Linked DNA regions of Alligator mississippiensis. The protein of the gene in region 2 interacts with the protein of the main gene of each other region in a pairwise test. Links are inferred from orthologs where the notes say so. Each region holds a gene or a part of one and is shown on either strand. Other genes may lie near its edges.

The links.
Region 1: the proteins of ARL6IP1 (region 2) and SNX12 interact in binary tests that used the Homo sapiens proteins (3 or more experiments, as listed by UniProt). The two-hybrid records come from large-scale screens. The link is inferred for Alligator mississippiensis from reciprocal best matches to the Homo sapiens genes ARL6IP1 and SNX12.
Region 3: the proteins of ARL6IP1 (region 2) and MYG1 interact in binary tests that used the Homo sapiens proteins (3 or more experiments, as listed by UniProt). The two-hybrid records come from large-scale screens. The link is inferred for Alligator mississippiensis from reciprocal best matches to the Homo sapiens genes ARL6IP1 and MYG1.

The regions. Positions count from the first base shown.
Region 1 is NC_081831.1:83,126,788-83,134,501, forward strand, and holds the start of SNX12 (sorting nexin-12), read right to left. Parts: upstream 3,006-7,714; 5' UTR 2,968-3,005; coding exon 2,803-2,967; intron 2,531-2,802; coding exon 2,435-2,530; intron 2,154-2,434; coding exon 2,029-2,153; intron 1,522-2,028; coding exon 1,419-1,521; 3' UTR 1-1,418. Other genes in the region: FOXO4 (forkhead box protein O4), read left to right, coding at 5,781-6,206. UniProt on the Homo sapiens protein: May be involved in several stages of intracellular trafficking.
Region 2 is NC_081836.1:44,689,217-44,697,009, reverse strand, and holds the start of ARL6IP1 (ADP-ribosylation factor-like protein 6-interacting protein 1), read left to right. Parts: upstream 1-4,778; 5' UTR 4,779-4,851; coding exon 4,852-4,887; intron 4,888-7,388; coding exon 7,389-7,522; intron 7,523-7,793. UniProt on the Homo sapiens protein: Positively regulates SLC1A1/EAAC1-mediated glutamate transport by increasing its affinity for glutamate in a PKC activity-dependent manner.
Region 3 is NC_081838.1:8,882,687-8,890,390, forward strand, and holds the start of MYG1 (MYG1 exonuclease), read right to left. Parts: upstream 3,006-7,704; 5' UTR 2,974-3,005; coding exon 2,821-2,973; intron 2,357-2,820; coding exon 2,244-2,356; intron 1,989-2,243; coding exon 1,829-1,988; intron 1,346-1,828; coding exon 1,196-1,345; intron 696-1,195; coding exon 573-695; intron 235-572; coding exon 53-234; intron 1-52. UniProt on the Homo sapiens protein: 3'-5' RNA exonuclease which cleaves in situ on specific transcripts in both nucleus and mitochondrion. Involved in regulating spatially segregated organellar RNA processing, acts as a coordinator of nucleo-mitochondrial crosstalk.

The DNA.
Region 1 (7,714 bases), on a different chromosome or scaffold from region 2:
CCGCGTGAATAGCTCAGTGGATGCGCTGGCCAGCAGGAGCCTGGGCATCCCCACGGCCAGGAGGTCAGGTCACTGCAGATCAATACAAAAAAGGCAGAAGCCTCCTCTCTCCAGAGCCAAGACACCCACTGCCCCTCCAGGTCCCCCTCTGCACAAGGGTCCCCCATCCACGGCAAGCAACTGAGTTTGGAGAGCAAAGAGGCAAGTGCACCAAGAAGCAAATCCATGAAGGGACCGGCTCGCAGCCTTCTGCACCCTCTGAGGAAAGTGCTTTTAAAGAGCTGCCTGAATAGTCCGTGCCTTTTTGCCCACACTAGTAAGTGCCTGGCCTCAAAGCTTCGCAGGGCGGGGGAGCAGCAGCGAGGCACAGGGAGGGGCAACAACCGGGGCACCTTGCAACTGGTAGCACATCTAGTGCTAGTTTGGATCTAACAGCTCCTGCCCCACACTGATTGCAAGAGCGTTCCCGAGGGGGGCAAGCAGCAGTCAGCACCACTCAGTCTGGGAGTAGCAGTGCCCCACTCACCCTGCCAGGCCCCCCACCTCCCGAGAAGTGAAAGGAAGAAGCCAAGCCTGAGGAGACCAACGCAAGAAGCAGCCAACACAAGTCTGTTCACTGGGTGCTGCAAAGCCTGACCAGACCCCCCCCTGCACTGGGCCAAGCCTTGGCACGTTCTCAACTCCTCAGCTACACATGCTTGCAGCCTCAGCAGCCCAGGCCCAGCCCAACCCCCTTCCAAACATACTGGACTGCTCCATGAGAGCTCAGGCGATGGAGACGTCCCCAAAGCTGCCAGCAGCATAGGAGAGAGCATGGGGTGGGGGAGGGATGAGCCCCGCTGTGCTGAGCAGGCCTGCAAGGCAGGAGGCCTGGAGCAGGGGGTAGAGCAGAATCCTGGGCCTCAGGACTGGGCAGCGGAAGAGGGAGGGTTCATGCGGGAGGAGGCATGGGATGGGCAAGGACCAGCTGCCTGCCCCAGCACCGGAGTTTCTGGGTAAGCCTTACTATCTCCCCAGCACCTGCTGCCGCGGCTGACCGGCGACAATCACTGTTCTGCTCAGTTTCCTTTAGATATGCTCGGGGCTGCGTGGACAGGGAAGCAAAGGTCACTTTGGAGCCTTCTGTGAGGGGAGAGGGGCAGCTTCCATACACTGCAATAATGCCTCGTGCCAGTCCCGTCACACACCTACTCGCTCCTGCCACCACAGATACACTGCATGCGTCTTCACACCTTCAGGCCCAGATCAAAGCCCAGCAGATATCAACGCTGCTGCCAGATACGAAAAGAGAAAAAAATACTGGAGAAACTGGGAGGTTCAGAGAGAAGCTGGTTCAGAGGAGACAGATTTAGTGTAAAAATAAATGTCATTTCTGCAGGAGGAAGGTGGAATGGAGGAAGACAGAGTGCCGGGCTCTCCTACTGACGGACTTTCCCTGGGACGTAGTTCCTGTCGATGGTCTCCTCCTGCAGGAACATGTGTAAGCAGCGCTCGTTCTGTGCCAGAGGGTGTCCGGCGATTCTGCAAGGGAACCGGGAGCGGAGGTTAGTGCCTGCCCAGCCCAGGCCTCGTCCCATGCTGTGGGAAGCAAGGACACACTCGCCACCTTTGCCTGCAAGGGAGGAGGTCCCACTCCCATCTTGTTAGTGCAGAACAGAGCCTCACTGTGGGTCTGATCCTACCCACACGGACGCAGCACCCAGTCGGTCATGCCAGGGCCCTGTGCCACGCTCCAGCTCCCCCTTCCCCTCGCCTGGCTGCTGTCTCCAAGTGACAGCAGCAGCAGCCTCAGCACCAGCACAAGAGGCAGAAAGGCCCAGGGGCCTGCACTGCTCAGCACCCCGCAGGAGCCAGCGGCACGCGCACAGCCCCCGACACAGAGGGAAGGGGCAACACACAGCAGCGATCCCTTCAGAGCTGCAGCTTTGCCAGCTGCGCGCTGCGGTGAGGGCAGCGGCCACGGCCCCAGCAGCAGCAGACAGCCCTTCACCGCCCCAGCCACGTCCCGTGCCGACTCGTGATGCTTACTTGTTAATAAACTGTTCTAGCCCCTGCCTCCTCTCCTCGATGAAAGACTCCTCAAAGATCCCCTCGTCACCCCGGAACGGGAGCTGTCGTTTCAAGGCTTTCCCGGGCAGCGGCGGCACTACAATCTGGAAGCACGCGCCCGCGTCAGCCAAGAGCCCAGTGTGCGCCCGCGGGGGGCAGCCCCTCGGCAGCCCTGCAGGCCACGGTCCTGAAGCCACCCGCTGCCCCGGCTGGGCAGGGCAGGGCAGGGCAGGGCAGGGCAGGGCAGGGCAGGGCAGGGCAGGCGTCGTGCCCTGGGAACCTCCCCCCCACAGAGGGACAAGGGGCAGCAGCTCAAGTGTGTCCGTCCCTCCCCCCCGGCGGTGGAGACCAGGGCAGGCCGGGCCGGGCCGGGCCGGGCGCTCACCTTGCTGTCTCGCTCCAGCTCGTTCTTCAGCCACTCGAAGTCGCTGTACCGCCGCCTCACGCACGACTCCTTCAGCTTGAAGATGGGGAGGTTTGTCTGCAAGGCAGAGGCGCGGTTAACGGGCGGGCGCCCGGGCTCCACGCAGGTGCCGGCACGGGGCCGGCCCGGCGGCACTGCACCGGCTCAGACCGCCCGCCTGCCCGGCCTACAGCGCACCTGGCGGCTCCCCGGCCCGGCCCGGCCCCGCGCTCCGACACCGCCCGGCCGTGAGCGCCCGGGTCCCGGGGCGCGGCGAGGGCCCGGGGCGGGCGGGCGGGCGGGCGGGCGAGCGCGGCCCCCTCCCCCGGCGCGGCGCGGCCCGCACCCACCCGCATGCGCAGCTCGTAGCTGGTGTAGCGCGCGCGGCCCACGCCCACGGTCTGCGGGTTGAAGATGTCGATCTCGAGGAAGTTGCTGGGCGGCCCGTAGGCGTCCGTCAGGTCCTGCGGCTTCGCGTTCAGGCGCCGGGTGTCGGCCACCGCCGCCTCCGACATGGTGCCGCCGCCGCCGCCGCCGCACAGCCCCGCCCCGCCTCCCGCGCCGCCCCGCCCAGCCAGGTTCCGGGGCGCCCGGCGCTGGCCCCGCAACGCGCATGGCCGCGCCCCGCCCCGCCCCGCCCACATTCAGGGGCCGGGGAGCTGAGCGCCCGCCCCGCCCCGCCCGAGCCCGCGGACCCTGCGCGCCGGCACCGCGGCCCGGCCCGGCCCGGCCCGGCCCAGCCCCACCGGGGCGCCCGCACGCCGGGGCACGCAGGGTCCCGGCCGGCGCGCTTCATCCGCCCGCCCGCCCGCCCCGGAACATGAGTAGCAAAGGGGCGAGCCGGCTGCACGCCGGCACCGCCGCGCGTGTGCGTGCATATGCAGACACCCCCACCCCACCCGGCGCTGCGGGCCCGTTAGGGCGTCACGTGCACCCCACGTGGCGCTGGGCCCCCCCGCATACATCAGCGCGCTCCGCGGGCCTCGGGCTGGGTGTGCAGCCCCCGCCCCGCCCGCAGCGCGGCTCTGCTGCCTTAGGGGCTTGGGCAGCTGTTGGCACAGGACGGCCGTGCCAGGCCCCAGCTCCCTAGACTGGCAGGCGAGCACAGGGAGCGCCCTCACGCTCCCATCAACCTCCATGGTGGTCCCAGGCGGGCAGGGCCGTCAGCCACAAACCACGCACAGCCGGGTCGCCGGGTGCCCGTGTTGGCTGAGCCGAACAGCCGGCAGGGAGGAAAACCAGCAGGAAGGAAGAAGAAAGGCTCAGGATAAACCAGCCCTTCGCACGCACTGCTAGAGAAGAATGGCAGGGTCGGCTTGGCTCCCCGTGCAACCCCCAGACCAGTGGTGGCAGGCAGAGGCCTGGGACCCGGCAGAGAACGGGGCTGTGGCCGCACAGGAAGTTGTGGTCTTTTTCCAGGGGGAAACGGGAATGGTTGGGGAACCAGACAGACACTGGGATGCCCTAAGACCTTCTGAAGGACTTGCAAACCCCTTGGTGGAGGTCAGGCCTGACGGACACGAATGGGCAGTGTTGGTGCAAAGCCTTTCCTCTCCAGGCTCTGTGAGAAGTGGGAATAAGCAGGGCTTTGGGTCTAAGGCAGCTCTCCGGTCACAGTCTTCTGCAGGACGAACTTCAGGCATCGAAAGCAGCTGGGTGGGGGCGAGGGGAGCGAGTCTGATGGACACAGAGGATGCCCTAGGCCAAGGCACAGCCTGGGAGTGGGAGACGTGGAATCCCACCCTGGACGGGGAATGACCGTGAAGGGGAAAGAGGTGCAGGTGCTCCTGGAGCTGCAGGGTTATGAAGTGTCTTCAGCCTGCCAGGCAGCAATTGTGCAGAGGGACATAGTGCTGCACAAGAAGCAGGACTGTGCCTTGGGTGGACACAAGCCTGCATCAGTCCCCTTCACTGGCTTTCAACAGGTCTCTGGACCCACGCTGCAGGGCACACGTAAAAACACGGGTGGGTCCCATCCCGAACAGCACGGCCTGCAGCCCCTAAGAACCGGCCATCTCCGGGCTGTGCTGCCCAGCTCCTTTTCCAACGGTCCCCCACATCCGCGGGGAGGCTCCGCCGTGCCTGGGGAAGCTGCAGTCTCCAGACCCCGGGGGGTTGGGTTTCACCACTGCTGCTGCTAATACTATTATTACTTGCTGTTTCTATAGTAACGCATACATCAGGGTGGAAGACTCCTACAAAAGGCAACTGGTCTCAGGCATCCTCATCCTGTCCTCAAGAGAGCAGAAAGCAGCAATGAGGCCCCTAATCTGCGAGGTATTTTGAACATCAACCATGGGGTTTTTGCACTCTCTCCTCAGCTCCTAGTTTCCCCGCTTCCCTGCCACTGCGTGCAGGGGTGGCGTTCGGGCTCTGAATGATAATGTCTTTCAACACGGGCAGCTCAAGAGGGAGCGGAGGATGTGGTTATGGAGCCTTCATTTGCTCTCTGCTCCCCTGACCCAGGATGCCCTGTCCCAGGTGGTGGTGTCACGCAGCCCCTGCACATGCTCTGGGCACAAGTAACATGAGTTGCACACGCCAGGCCTCACGCAAGGTCTGAAAAGCATTACCCGTCTTCCAGCACACGTTTGGTCTCTGTTTAAGGAAGAGCAGCACTGATAAAAGCCTTCCCGTTCAAAAACCTCGAGTTTTAGATAAATCTAGGCTGTATGTGCCGATGTTAAAATGTGTTGAGACCCCGGATATCACCGTTCTACAGCAGCAGCCGGCTGCTGCCGGCTCCCGTAGGGCCCTCGCCTGCCCGTAGTGATGGCGGCGCCAGGCTGGCTTCATCCGGCCAGTTGCAGCAGGCGCCAGCCATATTGGATACGGGCAGGCTGGCGGGAGGCGGGCCTTGCTGCCCCCGCGTTGAGCACCAGCTCCTGGACTGAGGGGGGCGGCGAGTGCCGACGTCCCCGAGGCGTGCAGGAGGCACAGCCGGCGGAGCGAGGCGGCTCGACCTCGGGCACAGCCTACCGGGGGGGGGAAGCGCGAGTGACGCACCGCCTGTTTGGGAGGAAGTCGGGGGTGTTATGTAAGGCACGCTTCCGGCACCCCCCGCGGAGCATCCTGGGAGCTGTAGTCCGCCTCCACACCAGCCCTGCCACGATGCCTTTCCGTGCCCCCGCCCTCCTTTGCGGCGCGGGGGCTGACGGGAAGCCGAGTCCTGGCGCCGGCGCGGCGAGCGGGGTCCGGCGCGTTGGAAACTCCCCGCCCCGGCATGCCTCGCGGGCGCATGCGCAGACGCCGCGGGCCGTGGTAAACAGAGCCGTGAGGCGGCGGCAGCGGCCGGGCCGCGACGGGCATGAGGCGGCGCTGAGGGGCCATGGCGGCGGCGGCGGGGCTGGACCTCGAGCTCGACCCCGACTTCGCGCCGCAGAGTCGGCCGCGTTCCTGCACCTGGCCCCTGCCGCGGCCTGAACTCGCGGGCGCGCAGCCCGCGGCCGAGCCCGAGCCCGAGGCGGCGGGGCCCGGGGCGGCGGCGGCGGCGGGGCCCGGGGAGGCGGCGGCTGCGGCGGCGGGGCCCGGGGCGGCGGCGGGGCCCGGGCGGGCGGAGGCGGCGCGGGCGGCGCGCAAGGGCGGCTCCCGCCGCAACGCGTGGGGCAACCAGTCTTACGCCGAGCTGATCAGCCAAGCCATCGACAGCGCGCCCGACAAGCGCCTCACGCTGGCGCAGATCTACGAGTGGATGGTGCGCTCCGTGCCCTACTTCAAGGACAAGGGCGACAGCAACAGCTCTGCCGGCTGGAAGGTACCGCGGGCGGGCGGGCGGGCGGGCTGCCCCGGCCCGGGGCTGTTCCGTGCTGGAGCCCCCTCTGCCCGCGTGCGGCCTGGCCCGCCGTGCTGGCAGCGGGGCCCGGGGCCTGGCGGGACGGGCGCTGCGGGGCGAGTCCTCGGCGGCTGACCGCGCGTGGGACGCGCCTGTGCTCCGGGGCGCCTGGGGCTGGTGCTTGTTTGCGGTCAGACGGCGTCTCTCGTCCTGCAGCGGGAGCCGGGCACAGCTGCTCCAGGTGCGGCGTGGGCTTGCGGCGCTTGTCCTGCCCGCAGCAGCCCCTGCTCTGAGCGCCGGCACGGCCGTGCACAGTGCACGTGGCAGGTGGCGGCGGGGGGCGTTTTCATCTGCCCCAGTGAGGGCAGCTGACGAGGGCACAGCGCGAACGCGGTTGCACCCGAGGCACGGCGTGCTGCAGCGGTTTCCCCAGGAGCCAGGGCAGCGGCGAGAGGTTTGCCGTTCTGCGGGGCCTCGTGGCTGGTTGTGCCTGCCCAATACCCTGGGGACAGGCGCGGGCGAGCCCTGGAGACGATGAGGCGGCTCTTACCTCAAGAGCAGGGTCTTGCAGCCGCCCTCCTGGCGGCGTGTGGAGTGGGTCTGAACTCTTTCCCGTGCCGTTGCGCTGTCCTGTTTGTCCCCTTCCCCGGGGCGTGGTGGCTGGCTGGAGAGGCCGAGTAGCTTGACTGAAAACCAGGAATTCCCCCTATGAGTCTTTTCAATCCCAGTGGAATCAAACTGGCACATAGTTGTTATGGGAGGTTTTGCCAGCATGCGTTGCTGTGCACACCTGGACATATTTCCTGTCTCTCAGGTAGCTTGGGTTCATCTGAAGGGGAGTTTTCCAGCCCCTGTAGTCAAGGCAGGGTGTCCTGACCTACCCCCAGCTGCAGCAAACGACGTGCTGTCATTCTGGCTAATAGCGGTGGAGCTGATGGTGATTCCCTGCTCTCTGCGTTGCCCGTTAGACAAAGAGCGTCTGCGTGTTCTGTAGGCAGTGACCAATGGGATTTTGTATGGAGCAGAGTCCCATCAAGTTCTCCGCCAGATGTAACTTTAAAGCAACTTTCTTGGCCTCTGACTAACTGTGAAAGAGAGATCTGCACTGTAACCTCTTCAGCCAGCCGCATCCAAGTCTTGGAGTAAGTAGGTGAAGCTTGCAGACAGAGCGACATGGGACGAGGCACTTTGAAGTCTTGTACAAGGCATGTGCTGCCCTGGTGCGCAGGGCTGGGAGTGGCCCGCAGTCGCTGTTCCACTGCTCTATTTGGAGGTGGCTGGCAACACTTTTCCACTTAAAAGGTACTGGGGAGATTGAAGTCTAATGAAAAACCATGATTTCAGCCACTCATTGGGCGATGGAATCCTACAAGGGAAGCAGGCTGTGTTTGTGGGGCGGCAGACAGATTCGTGTGTGTCGTGAAGGGGTTTGGGAACGAGCAGAGGTCTCCTTGTCGCCCTGGCACTGGCACTGTGGATCTCGGGGGCAG
Region 2 (7,793 bases):
CAGCGGGATTCCAAGGCTTGTTATCAAAGAAAATTCTTGTGGTTCCTCTTGTTTCATCCTCTAACTGTTCCTATGATGCAAGGTAGGAGGGCTTTAAAAATACGGTCTTACAATATAAAGGAAGTATTGCCAACAGATCCTGTCTACACAGTAATGAACATAAACTAGCTCTTGCAAGCATATCTAATGTTTATGCAATATCTTCACAACTGGGGTAATTAATAAGAGCCCCTGAGGAGCATGAAACAGAACAGGCACTTCTAGATTCTGATCTAAAGCAGCTTCAATCACCTGCCACTTTTGTGACTCAGCCAACTAGTATTAGGTAATGGGATAGGATAATGTTGCAGGCTTCTGATGACCAAAACCCATTAAACCTGTTCAGTGCATGGAGCTGCAGCAACAGAACAATACATGTGAATTCTCTGTACGGAGAACTCTTTGGAAGATGGCCATCCATGACTGCTACCAGGCTATAGCTACCAATCTTGATGTTGGTAGATCAGCTGCTGGATCTGTTGTAACAGGTGAGTACTTTATCAAGGAGGTATTGTCTCCTAAGCAGTAATGGGTAGTGCAGGTCAGGGGATCCCAAAGTGTTGGTTTTTGCACTAGACCTAGGAGTTCACCAACAGATTAGAATTTTCTATGGTGAGGCAAGGCCTGATTGCTGACTATGGGAACTGCACCATTAGTTATATAAGGTGGTCTGGAAAGGCTCAGGAGGAAGTGTTTAACTACGCCCTGGCTGTGTCTACATGAGACACTAACTGTTCAGTAGCTTGCTACTACTGTGCAGTAATGTCACGTGGCACAAAGTGTGACATGATGCTACTGTGCAGTAGTAATGAGCTACTGTGCAGTTGGCATCACCTAAAAGCCATTTGGCAGCACTACTGCACAGGTACTCCAGTTACTGCGCAGTCATTTAGTACTTGTCTACAGTCATTTAGTACTTGAGGGGTAAAGGAAGAAATCTGATGTTGGGAGCTGGAGGCTGATGAGAAACATCTACCTTTTATTGAAAGCTCCTTGCCATTTTGGCACAACCTTCGTGAAACTAAGGGAGACAGCCTCATGAATGGATAGGAGAAGGAGCTGGGCAGGTTTCCTGAGTGTTTTGAATAACATCTACAAAGTGCTACTGTTCTTCTGAGGGACAGAAACATAGATACAACATGCTCCTGATGCTTCATGTTGTGTTGTGGGGATTTTTATCTTATTTTGTGTATATTTCCTGTTTAAAGAATATTGTGCAAAGCTCTGCAGCTGAGTGCAGACAAGGTTGCACTTTTACAATGTTTCCTATCATCCCTACTGCTGTCTATGAGGTGGTAGCCTGCTCCAGTCCCTTCTCTCCCTTCTCTATACTAGTGCTATCATGGAAAAAAAACAAGTGGTTACTGTATCCAGGCCAATAGTGGTAAAACAGTGCCCTTTCCTCAGGGCATAGGCTCTTCATCTCAGTTCTATGAGATTATGCAGATGACAAAACTCCACAACCTTCCCAGTCCCTGGGACTCCTGGGTCTATGATAGGTGAGTGACAAGTGGCAGGGGGCTGTTGTTAGAAAAGATTAACAACTACAATAGGCTCTCGATGTAGGGGCAGTTGTGGCAGCTCACTTAAGGTGCAATCCCACTCACCTCAGCAGCTGACCGGTTTCATTCATGTAAAGCTAAGGCACTTTGCCAGCTGAGGCATCTAAGTCAATGGGGAAAAGTGCAGTTCCACAGGTAATGTGTAGGAGGGGCATGTGGGGGCATGTACCCTCCTGAAATTGGCCACTGCCGAAGCCACTGTTGGCTTCTGCGGGTAGTTGCTGCCTGCACCTGCCCACCCCCACCTTGCTGCTGACACAACCGGCAGTGCCACCCCCCGCCACTGACGGTCCCTGCTTGCTGCCATGGTGCCCCCCAGTCTTGGGAGGCACCAGTTGTTCATGTGCCAGTGTTCATAGGGGCATTTTAGATTACAAGTTAGTAAGATCTTATCTTCCACAAGAAAAAATCCAATGTATAACGAATCTCTCACCAACCTATTTCTACTTCACCCAGTAACATCAGTAAGAGCATGGTTCAGCTTTTGGAATGCGGCCTTTGACGCCTACGTAATGGTTTCCCAGGCTTAGCACATGCACGTAGGCAAAGGTAGTTTAAATCAGTCGAAATCCAGGTGAATGAGCATGTGCAGTATCTGGTGCTGCAGATTCTTCTGCAGCGCCATACATGCAGGTATTCGCTGCACGGCTAATTTGCAGCATGGGCAGAGGGGAGGGATTCTGACACTGAGAGATCCCAGTGACAAAAAAACCCTGCACCTAAAAAAAGCAGAGTGGTGCATGTGGTGGCAGCATGCACCACCCGAAACTGGAGCCTAACTGGCTGGAGCCACACTCTGGCTGCCAGCCCAGCCTCCCTGCTGCTGGATTGGCGCGACTGCAGCCCCTGGAGGCCCATGGGACCCCAGGTAAGGCTGCTGGGATGAGTCCAGGTGCTGGCCCCAGCCTCCCTTACCTCAGCCAGGGCAACTTGCTGCCTGCCACAGCATGCGTGCACAGGCGCTCCCCAGGGACAAGCAGCAGCAGCGCAACTGTGTCACTGCTATTTTCTTCCCGGGAAAATTCACGTGCACGCTCTTCTGGATGTGCCCAGTGTGTCTATTCAGCAGGCACCTCATGGACATGATGTGCATAGCCCCTTAAGGTGTCTTTTCTTCAGTCAGGTGTGCAAGAGAACACCTTTCTCTGCAACGGACCTCCCAGAAATAGTGATGAGAGATGCCTGCATTCAGGAATTACCTCTACATCACCTTTTTCATGGCTGCATGTAACTTCTACAGCAATTTGATTCCCTAAGGCTTCCATTCGTGTGTTCCCCCTCTCCCAATTTGAGAGGGATCTCTATCTGGGGAATCTATATAATATTATCAGTATTGCTAGTTTGTGCCTTGAGCCCTTAGCGACCTGTTCTCTATTCTAAGAGTCAGGGAAGAGGCCTTTTTGTTCCTCAATATTACATCTCCTCCAAGTGTAAGATTCAGGTTCTCAGAGCTGATCCCCTTCCACGGTGCTGTTTTGAAGACAGGATCTCACACAGCACTCTGCACAAATTCCTGTCCTGAGTTGTACGAGGTGTATGTGAACCTATGTATTCATTTCCCAGTTTTCTTCACTGACCACAGTGCGAACTTTGTACTTCATACACTGGTGGTAGGAAGGGTCTGGTTACTTTAACAGGACAAAATCCTATGGGAACATACCTAGACTGTCTTTGCTAATAGGATAGAAAGTTAGGCAACAGTCTCACAGAGATTATTAAAATGCGTCTCTAAGCATATAACATGCAGTGAACTTGCTGAGTCAGATTCCTGCAGCCATTATAGAGCCTATTTCAGTAGAGATCCAGCACTGTTTTCCCCTGCTTGAAAAACATCGAGCAGTTAATATACTGTGGTCCACGTCCATATTTAAGGATCCCAGGTACGACCAGAATATAAGTAACACCATATTCAGCATAGGTAGGATAGGTGAATATGGTAGCAGTCCACATTCGCAGGACCTTGCTGTCTGGGAAAGGCTTCAGATTGTACACTTATATGGCTATCCTCTCATCCTTGTTTAAATAGGACTCTTGCTGTTGACAGCCAAGGTGACCATCGACTGTTTTAGTCACAACACTGGTATCTATGTGGGAGCCCCATCAACCACCGTGCACTCAAAGGAGGGAGCCTTAAAGTTGCTTGTTTAACTGCAGGGGTTTTTTAACCTCACAGGAGGTATAATTCACAAGATGCATCCTCCATGCAGATTGCCTCTCTAGTGCTGCAGCGTCTTACCGGGCCAGGCGTTCATCGGGGCTGCCTGGGGCCGCCCAACCTTTCAGCCCTGTGGGCCAGATGCTGGCGCGGGTGTCAGGCTGGGGTCTGGCGTGTCGGCCCAACCCTGCGTGCCAGCCCCGTCCGGTGCGCCGTGGCACGGCATCCAGCCCGCAGGCCCGGCCATTTGGCGTCAGGGAAGCAGCAATTAACACTGATGTGGCCGGAGATGGGGCACCACTCGTTAAGCTAAGGAGCTGAGGCACAGCGGGACCTGCTCTGAACCGCGTGCGCTGGGCGAGGGCCACGATGCCGCGAGGGCCCCGGCGCCGCGGGGAAAGACAACAGGCGCGAGCAGACATGGATGCAGGGCAGCACCGGACGGCAACAGGCTGCTCCTGGCTTCCCCTCCTTCCCGGGGCACGGAAGATTAGCAGACTGTCGGTCGTTGGTCTGAGGGCACGGGCAGACGAGACTCTCTGAGTAAATGGGAGGTTTTTTATTAGACCCACTGAAAAGTTGGAAAAATTGTTCTGTGCAAGCTTTGGGAGACACACTTTTTTTTAATTATTAAAATGATCTATCTATCCATATACATATATGTGTGTGTGTGTGTGTGTGTGTGTGTGTGTACACGTACGTGTATATTTGTTCAGACCAGGCGAACACGCGGGGGCAAGTGTCGCGGGGGGAGGAGCTCGGGCCGTGGGCCGCACTGGAACGAGGCTGTGGCCCCGCCCCCCGCGCTCGTCGCTCGAGACCGAGACAGTTGGCCGTTGACACCGCCCCAGGGCAGAGGCGCAGACAGAAGAGAGCCACGCCCCGATTGGCAGCTGCCCGCTTTCAAATAGCGACGCTCTGGGATTGGTCCGGCCACTCGTTCAAGTCGACCAATCGTTGCGTAGACTTCAGCGGACCCCGCCCCCACGCCGTGTCCATAAAGGGCGGCGCCGCCAACCCGGCGCAGTGCTCGGCGAGCAGCTAGCTGGGGCGGGCGCAGTGTTTGGCTGGTGGGAGCGTGCGGACCCGCACAAGATGGCGGACGGAGACAACAAGAGCACCAACCAGCTGGTGAGCGGCCGGGCCGGGCGGGGCTGCTTCCGCCTCCGTTCTCCTCCTCGCCCTCAGCTGCTGCACCCGAGCCGGGCGAGGCCTACCCCAGCTCCTGCGCCGCAGTCTCCCCGGGCTGTGCCGCAGCAATGGCCCGCGCCTTCGCTCTCCCCTGGCTCGGCTCCCCTGGGCCCGTGCCCTGGTGCGCCCTTGCCCTTCCCCTAGGCAGCGGGGAGGCCTCTGCGGCTTGGGGCCCGGCTGCCTCCCCGCCCCACATCGGGCTCTGCGCTTTCTCCTCTCGGCTTTCGACTCCTAGCGCTTGGCTTGGCCCCTGCCCCAGGCTCTGTGTCTCCCCTAAAGGGCTGGGCTGCTTTCTCCTTAGTCTGGATTCGGGACAGAGCAGCTGACACTGCAGCTCCATCTCCACCCCTGTCTCACATAAGCCTGTGGCATCTCTGATTCAGTTAGTCTGTAAGGTGCACCTCTTCTCACTCCAGGGTTTTTATGCTTTTGCTTCGGAGAGACAGGAAGGCTTGAAACAGCCAGGTGTAGGGGCCTTGCTCTGGACGAAGTGGGGAATACGCAGATGGCTTTAAACACAGGTTCAGGCAGGAACTGAAAATGAGGGCTGGGGAGTCAGAGGTAGTAGCAGAAATAATCGTGGGAGGAAGGGGGAGGGCGGCTTTGAAGGGTGACATTGAGGAACGAAAGGAGTGATATTTTGTCTGCAGTTTCAGATTGGACTTGATGGCCCAGGAGGTCCCTTCCAGTTCCTTGTTTTTGAAAAGTGAGGCACTCAAACGGTGTTGAGAGCTGAAAGAAGCTCCTAGAAGGAGCTTTGAAAAAGTAGTAGAAAGGAGGAAGCAGCAGCAGATGAGAGTGAGACTCAGGCACTCGGCTAGAAAGGGTCTCTTGGAAGCTGGGAGGTGCTGCATGCGGCATAACTACAATACCTGGGCTAGGGAGGGGAGGTGGCTGAAATTGCCTGACTTAATGGGAGAGAAGGCTTGGGAGGGGCAAGCATTTGAATGAAGGTTGAGGAGGTGATGGACAGGAGGAGTTGGCACCTGTTCTCTGCCTATTTGCATGGGAGAACAAGTACACTTGCTACCTGCTTTGTGTGCTGGCAGAAGTCAGGCTGTTATTCCTGACAGCTGTATTCTAACCTTTGTCCTGCTAAAGTGCCTCTTGTGTAATGGGTAACTTAAGATGAGTTCCCTTTTCTGAGTGATTGCTGGTGGCCCCAGATACTGAAGTAACACAAACATAGACTTGTCTGTTGACAGCAGGCTTTTGTCTCCTAGTTTGGAAAATGAGAAATTGAGGCTATTTCTAGAAAGTGTGAAGTAGATATACTTATTGTTGGTACAGTTATCTTTAATGTGGAAGGTAGATAGGGCAGGACATATAGATATAACTGATCTGATAATTGCATCTAGGTTTTGATCATCACATGCAGATTTTACACTGACTACTTTGGGTTTTTTGTTTTAAGTTATTTCTACCTTCCCTCTCCCTAGGAAAATAGTCCCTTTTTGTGATACCAGCAATCTTTCCTATTTTCCCCATGGACAGCAAGCTTATCAGCTATATTTAATGTGTTACATATGACCTGAGGCAACGGTAAAGAGGCTGGCGTAGGCATTTTTTTTAAGTTGGATTGCCGTGTGACTAGTCAGATGTGAAACTACCTTTTTTTTTTTCTATTTTTGACCATTTCTGAGTTAACATCACCTTTTGTCATTCATACATATAATTTAAAAGAATGCAAGCCAAAAATTGTTCAGTTTATGGTATCTCATAAATAAATGTACTAAGTACATTGTACTAGTGTACCCAAGTACTTTTGGGTGCTACTCTTGGAAATGTGTGTTTTAATTCTTTGATTTTTTTTTTTTTTTTTCCCACTATTAAAAAAATTCCAAATAGGTTTTTCTGCTTTTTGTCTAACTCAAAATGGAGTGAGAAGCAGTGAAACGGACTGGATGTAAGGGCAGTAAAATACATGTACTAAATACTGGATAGGGTGGGGGACTTGAATTCAGTTTTAGTTTTTAAAAAAGAGGACACTTTGAATTCCTTACAAATGCTTTCTCTATGCTGGAGAATCTTATGATTGGCAGACTAGTTAATCTCCCAAACAAAAGTCTTCCTCCCTCCCTTTCTTTTTCTGAAGGGATGAGCTTCAGGTTGGGATGCAGAATAGCTTAGGAGATCTAAAGACACCTTATCTTGGAGGACATGTTACTACATAATCTGCTGTGAAAATCTTAACCTTACTGTCTTCATTAAAACCACAGAGTTACAGTGCCAAGTTGTATGACTGAGGAAAAACTGGTGGAAGAACATTTAACTGAAAAGGATTGACTGTGTCCTGTACCTATAGAAGAATAATTTATTTTAGTGTGGCTTTGCAAGCACAAATACTTAATGAAAAATTTAGTGCATGTAGTAAATAATTCATATGTAAGTACCCATGTGACTTTCTAATTAGTGACAACTTTAAATGTCTTTTTATGCAGGCTGCAGAGACTGCCAGCTTGGAAGAGCAGTTACAAGGATGGGGAGAAGTAATTCTGGTAACTGACAAAATCCTTCGTTGGGAAAAAGTATGGTTTCCACTTGCAGTAATGGGTACTGTTACCTTTGCTTTCCTGTAAGTAGTCTGCATTATTTTTGCCAGAAAATCAACTGAAGCTTTCTCCTTAAAAATACCACCTGGGAAAGTTTTGCTCCAGTATCTCTTGCTTAATATAGACAGTAAGGTCTAAGATTTTTTTGTAAGAGCAGTAGTAACAGGAGGGTGCACAAGACCTCTTGCTCTGAGGCCAGCAGTGATTGCATGTTTCACTGATCCTTTTATTTATCCTTTCTGACCTTGGTTGTTAAAAATGTCCTTTATGAGTTGCTGTTGCTCTAGCTTTTTA
Region 3 (7,704 bases), on a different chromosome or scaffold from region 2:
CTCAGACCCCACTACCCCCACCTTGAGGGTACATGGGGGGAGGGGTCCTCACCGGCTGTGGAAGCTGTGCAGCGTGGCAGGGACGCTCTGTACGCGCCACCGCCCGTTCTGGTCCGGGTACAGCACGAACTTGATGGGTGTCTCCACACCCAGCTCTGCCTCCAGGCTGAAGAGGTGCTCCTTCCAGGGGCAGCCGCCGCTCGGCAGCACCAGGATCTCCCCACTGGGGTCCACCTGGGGGAGAGGGAGGCAGGGAGAAGCATGGGGCTCTGTGCCTTGCCCAGGATGTCAATACCCCCTTGCTGGGACCTGGCACCCCCCAGCTCCCCTCACTTTGCCGACTGGGAGTGGACCCTCGCCTGCACTTCATCTATGATGCCCACAAGCTCCGTAGTACAGATAATTGTTACTGCCAAAGGAAACCCATGCGCTTGGCAAGAGCAGAGACCATCCCAGCAGGGGCCATGCTGGGAGCAAGGACTCCTGGGTTGTATCCCTGTGCTGTGGGGGCAGGTCCTGGCTTAGCAATAGCCTTGTAGAAGGCCAGGGTGCCTCCCCAGGGCAGAAGGTACCTCAAAGCGCTTCTGAACGGCATCCTCCACCAGGGTGCGGGCAGGCAGCCAGGCGCGGTGGTAGTAATCCAGCCGGTCCAGGAACTCGGCCTTCACCAGCTCCATCGCCTTCTGGAACTGGGTCTGCAGGGGGGGCAGACAGCTGGTGTAGGACCGGCCTAACCCAGGCGCACAGTCAGGCCCACTCTGCCACCCACCTTCCAGGGCATCCCTGGACCCTGGGGGGTGCTCAGCTCTACCGTGTGCAGGAAGAGCAGGTGCCCGTCCATGGCAGCACGAGGGGGAGTGGATCCAGCTGGCTTCTGGCTGGCGAGGCTGTGAGCCCTGACGCCATGTGGCTTCTTCCTCTACACACGTGTCCACGGGACAGGTCACCTCTATCTGCTCCCTGCTACATGCCTCATGGTCCAGCCCACCCCCTACCTTCATCTGCTTCTCCCCCTCCATGTGTGACCACGGTACAGCCTGACCTATGCCAGGATCAGCTCCTCCCTTTACATGTGCCCAACGATATCTTTGAAGATGGCATCCCCCCCCCCCACCTGTGTGACAGCTGAACGATTTTGGGGGCACTTCTGGTCTCATGAATTGCCCTCTCTTCCCTGATCCCCCACAGGCCTCACCTCAGTGTCCTGGTTGGGGTCATTCCAGCGGGGGTTGAGCAAGCCGACGCGAGCACTCAGGTCCGTGGTCACGGCATAGCGGGGCTTCCCGTCCAACTGTGCCACCCCATTGTCGATGGCATCGATCTCCTCCATGAAGTTCTCGTAGAGCTGCCGGGGCAGAAGGAGGTGGTAGGGCTCAGCGGGACAGTCCCTCCTGTCCCCAAAACACCCGAGGAGTCCGGATCTGAGCCTGCCTTGGAGGGTCGTCTGCTCCCGTGACCCACTGTGCCACAGAGAAGACCCCGTAGGCTGGCACTGCCACCTGGAGCAAGCGTGACTGGCGGGAGAGCACCAAGGGAAGCCCAGGAAGCCGTGGATGCCATGTGTCTCTCCCTAGCAAGTGGGGTCTAGCGCAGCAATCCTCAACCAGGTGGCCACGGTGCTCAGAGCTCCCTTCAATGGTGCTGCGGGTGCCACACAGAGTACGCCATGAGCTGTGCCAATGCAGTGTCAGCGGGCGGGGGCAGGGAGCTAGGACTCCTGGGTTCTGCCACGTTTCCAGGTCCGGGAGGGGAGGGGCAGGTAGAGCAGGGACTTTTCCTGCACAGGCAGTCGCTGTTAGGACTCCCCTAGCACCCCCCTGCCACATACCTTATCGTACAGCAGCTGCACCACGGGGTCGTCCTCCGCGCGCCCCAGCAGGTGGGCCAGGATCTGGGAGCCGAAATGCAAGTACACCAGCCCCGCGCTGCTCAGCTTGGTCGTCCACGGCTTGTCGGGCCTCAGGTCGTGCATGGACTGCGAGAAGGACCTGCCCGGCCCCGGAGAATCAGCCCCGTGGCCTCCCCCGCGCCCCAGCACAGCCAGCGGGACCCCGCGGCGCCGGGTGCTGCACGGACCCTGCGGCTCAGAGTCCGAGGAGGGGAAACCGAGGCAGGGCAAAGCCAAGCCACGGGGGTTCCCGGCAGGTACGGGGCCAAGCTGGTGTCCGGAGGACCAGTGCCGCGCTCCAGCCTCTGGCCCGCTCCCTCTTGCAAAGGGAGACGGGGAAGGGGCCCGGGCTCACCTCTGGTGATGGTCGTAGCGGTGCCGCTGCGGGTCGTACTCGCCGCCCACGTCCACCACCACGTCGCACTGGGCCAGCAGCTGGGGCTCCCGCGTCCGCACGATCTCTGCATCCTTGGGGGAGGGAAGGTGCCCGTGAGGGGGCCGGAGGCCCCCCCACCGCGTACTGGGGATGGGACCCACAAACACCCCCAGCCCCACCTGCACCAGGGTCCCCGTAAGGCCCTGGACACCCCAAAGCCCTGGGGCAGGTGGGGGGGGGGGGGCACAGACCCCGGGGTGCTGCGTTGGGGGGGGGTCCCGCGGAGGGGGGCAAGGGGAGCCCGGCTGCAGGTCCTGGGGGGGGGGTTTCATTGGAGACAGTGCAGGGGGCCACGCATCCCACGGCGGGGGGGGGGGTCCCAGATGTGGGGAGAGGTCCCAGGTGCAGGGGGGTCGTGGCAAGGCGAGGGGGGGCACAGAGTACAAGGTGGGGGGGGTCTGCGGACCCAGGGGGGGGGCTTGGAAGGGGGCGGGGCCAGCGGGGGTAGTAGGAGGGTCCCCGCGGGCAGTCCCACGTGCAGGGGGGGGGTCCGTACTCGGTAGCGGGGCAGCACCCGCAGCAGGGTGCAGGCCAGCGCCTCGTCGCAGTGGAAGTTGCCGTCGTGGGTGCCGAGGCGCGGGGCGCGGCCGGGAGCGGGACTCGCCATGTGGCGCAGCAGTGACCGGGCGGCGCGGAACCCCGTGCCCATGTCCTCCCGCCACTGCGCATGCGCCGGACATGCGCAGACGCCACGGAGAAGCCGCTGCCCGCAGCTGCTTGCCCGGTCGTGGGCGCCCACCTAGGGGCAAGGAGGTCCCTTCACGACCCTGCGCCTGGGGGATGGACAGGACACTGCACCCATCACACCCCAGGGTGCACTGGCACCACCTCCAGCACCAGCTTGTGGGGATTTTCTTCCAGCCACTGACCTGCTCCCAGCCCTCCCCTGCAGGAGGCGGGGTGGCATGGGGCTCATCTCATACTGGGATGCACTGGGCCACGGTGCACAGGGTGTCCTCATGGGACCCTGCAGGGAGCTGCAACCTCCCATGGCAGCCCCCCTGCCCCGCACGAGATACGTCCTGGACTGTACTGGGATACGGCCTAAAGAAAGGTCTTCATGGGAACTGGGACCACTGGTCCAGACCGGCACAAACCTCTAGCAAAAGCCTGGCGCCAACGCACTGAAACCTCCCATGGCAGCCCCTGCACCATCCCTGCGTGAGGAGGGGTTGAATATTGCTCATTGTGGACTATACTGGGATACAGGCTACAGGGAGGTCTTCATGGGAACTGGGACCACTGGTATGGCCTGGCACAAACCTAAAGGAGGAGAAAACCTGTCTGGCTTTTCGAAGCCAATGCACTGAAACCAGCCGGGGCAGCCCCAGGACCATCCCTGGGGTGGTTGAGGAGGGAACATACTGGGATACAGCCTCCAGGGAGGTCTTTATGTGGACTGGGACCACTGGTACGGACTGGAACAAACCTCTAAAGGAAGAGGAAGCCCGGCGGGCTTTTCCAAACCAACGCACTGAAACCTCCCATGGCAGCCTCTGGACCTTCTCCGGGGGCTTCAGTGCGAGGAAGGACTGAATATTGCTCATTCTGGAATATACTGGGATACGGCTTATGGGGAGGTCTTTATGTGAACTGGGACCACTGGTGCAAACCTGCATTGGAAACCTGGAGGGCTTTTCCAGAGCCAATGCACCAAAACCAACTCTGACAGCCCCGGGTCTTCTCTGGGGTCTCCTGTGTGAAGCGGGGCTGAATATTGCACATACTGGAATATAATGGGATACGGCCTGCGGGGAGGTCTTCATGTGAACTAGGAGCACAGGTGTGGACCGGCACCACGCGAAGGGTGAGGAGCCCCCGTGAGCGCGGCAGGAATTCATCGCCAGCCCAAGAAGCCCCCAAACGGCCACGCTGATGTGAGCTTTCCACAAAGCGACAGGCTTTATTAATAAGGTAACAGCATATTACAGTTATGCATGTAAGACAGCATCCAGCGTCCTGTGCAAAGCTCTGAAGGAGATTTCACATTCAAACGCATTTCTTTCCGGCTTCTCGTGTCCATTAGAAAAAGCTCAAGGCGAACAAGAGGGGAGGGGGAAAACAGGCAGCAATCACCTCTAGTCATCACTATAATTAAAAATAGAGATTTCTCAATTAGGTCTTCCTACAGATAAAGTGCACGGCCTTCCTGTCCTCTAGTACACAAGGCAACGACAGAAATCTGTTTCACAGTCGGAAGCGTCTCATGGGATTGTACACGCCTGTTTTACACGCCGAAGAGGGGGGGACGGGGGAGCGTTGCCGCGTCTACCAACCCAAAAGCAGCTTTAAATACGATTTCTAGGTTTAAAATTCAATTTACAGTTTACAATAAAGCATTTCCACCTATATTAAATAGTTATGGACATGTCAACAATCAATCATCTGGCAATTTGTTGCAATCATTCCTTGGATTCGTAACATATATGTATAGCTATATATAGATATCTATCTATATAGATATAGTTAGATCTATCTTTATCTCTCTAGATATATCTATATATCTATGTATATCTATGTAGATAGATATATCTATCTATATCTCTAGCTACATAGATATATCTCTCTATATCCCTATCTCTATCTATATAGATAGATACATCTATATCCCTATCTATATAGATAAATCTAGCTATCTATATCCCTATCTATATCTATATAGATAGACAGATCTATCCATCTCTCTATATAGATAGATCTATCTATCTATATCTATATAGACAGATCTATCTATATCTCTATATAGATAGAGATAAGTATAGATAAATCTATCTATATAGATATAGACAGAGATAGAGAGATATAGATATATATAATTTTTTTATTAACAGGCTCAATATTAAAAAGCCAACCAACTCTATCCCCCCACCCCCCCAAAAAAACACACGTTCTTCTAGCTGAGATAATATCAGACCTGTGTTTTTTATCTGGTCCCTGACGTGCTGAGTTTCTCTCAACATTTATTGCAGTGCTAATTCTTGCCCATGGCCTTTTCCACGCATTGGTTTACCCAGAATGGCAGACATGAAGTGGGATATACGCAGAACGGACCTTCACGCAGCAACTGTCACTTCCTGGCACAGCAATACTGATGTAAAGCTGGAATTATAGGGGTAAGACGCAGTTTATAGCCGCTGAAAAATAATCATCGCGGCCATGGCGCGTCGGGTGGCTGTGCTGAGCTTGGGCTGAGAGCGTGAGGAAGGGAGTCATGGGTGTCATTCAACACTGGGTTACATCACAGCTCATTCAAAAGGGTCTCTTGAAGGAAAAAATGATATTTTTTGGAAAATTCCCTGTTTCCAGAAAACAGGAAATCCCGCAACATCAGACGCTTTCCCATCGAAGATGGGATCTGAGAGTTGTGAAATAAATTTTAAAAGAAAAGGTCAGTTGTGGAAGCCAAGTCCATTCCCTGACCACTTCCAACTTGTATCTGGACTCCTATTTTTAAAGCCCCCTACATCTGAGCCCCTGAAAAGGGAACAGTCCCGTGCCTATTCGAAGCGGGAGCAACTGGGATGAGGTCTCCCCTTCTGCCCCAGTGCTGCGGTGCCTCGTCATGGCCAAGTTTCCATCCTGAAGGAGATCGAGCTCAGTCCGGCACAACGCCTCTCCTCCGGTCTGCAAAGGGGAGATGTTGCTAGCGGCACAGATGCAAACACCAAGAAACCTCCCATCATTTTCAGCGATGGCTGTGGGTGAAAAGCAGCCATAAATGTCCCTGCCCTGAACAGCTTCCAGTCTAAAAGGCACGAGTGGGTGTGACGGGAAGGGGACTCCGGTTTGGGAGGGCAAGGTGGGTTGCTTACTTCCCATGGGAGCTGGGCTTGGGGAGAGAAGAGCTGATCCAAGCAGTAGCAGCAGCATGGAAACAAGCCACATCACTGACAGTGGGGCAAAGGGGCCAAGGGAACAGCAAGCCCCAGAAGAACGTGGGTGGATCGCGTGGAGGAGGGAAGGCAAGGAGATACACAGCTGGATGCAGGAAACCCGTGGAGAGGGCTGGCTATCTCAGCAGCAGGACTGCAAGGAGCCTGGAGAGGATGGGGGGAGATGGAGCATGTTGGGGTCAAAACCAGACCTCTCCCCCACCCTTCAGAAATGGGGCCCAACACGTTGCTTGGGTGCAAGCAGATAGGCGACTCGAAGGGGCAGGCACCACGGGATGAGTTGCCGGGAGGAGGGTTGGAGCCATTTTCAAGGCAGCGCTTCCTTATGAATAAATTGGGTGCTTGGCTAAAGGAATCGCTTCAGCACGTTCGGGGAACCATCCCGTTGTTTGCTCCCTCCCAGAAAGCTTTCAGGCTTCCTCTGGAGGTTGTTCTCCTTGGAGACGTCACCCCCACCCCCATGAAAAATTGCATTCGGCTTCACCCCCGTTATGCAAGAAGCTCAGATTGCAAGAGAGTTTTGGAAGTCGGAGGAAGGAACGAGGATGCTGCAGTGCCCGGCGCTGATTTAGCCCCAGAAGGAAGCCAGGAAGAGGCAGAAGATGAGGCAGGAGGGTAGAAGCAGGTGCCAAGAGTGGCAGAAAGTCGCCAGGACTGAGGCAGGAAGAGGACAGGCATTTAGCAGAGCGCCGAGGCCGTGAAGCGCATGCATGTAACGGAGAAAGTCTTTGCAGACACTGAATTTTTGCTATGAGCGAGGAGGTCCAAGGAGACCGCTCAGACTGGGGCATGGAGGGGCAAACAGGACCAGGAGGGGAACCGGGTAGCATGCAGGATCCAGCAGGACTAGATAAAAGACCAGAGAATGAAGCGAGGGGAGAGTCCGGCCCAGAGCTGCAGAAGCAGACAAGACATTTTCAGCAGCAACAGGTCACAGCCAGGATACAAGACACGTCCGTGTTTTAAGGCACCAAAAAAAGCTGACAATTGTATTAAGACACAGTGATTTTCCTAGGAGGGGAGGGGAGGGGAGGGGAGGGGAGGGGAGGGGAGGGAGGATGGCGGGAGGGACATTCACTGCACTAAAAGCGAGCTCAAGGCACGTTGTTGTCCAAGGATCCGCTTTCATGCTTGCCCTTTCAGCGACAACGGCTGGGCTGAAGGGAGTTTGCCAGAAGAGGCCGGGCGTTATTTTAGACAGGATTATTTGTTTCCCAGGATATATCCGAGGAGCTTGTTAATCATTCCAGACAGGTGGATTTAAAAAAAAAAATTTTTAACCCTGGGTATGAATCAAATTCCCCTTTGTAAATGTTTATAGACCCATCTTAAAAAAACCCCTCTGTATTTTAAAAGACTGACACGTGCGCACACACATGCGTGCACACACACACACACACACACACACGCACACTGCTACCCACACTCCTGAACTCTGCCCATTTAAAGTGCGTTCGAGTGCCGACGTGCTGATACACCCTTGACAA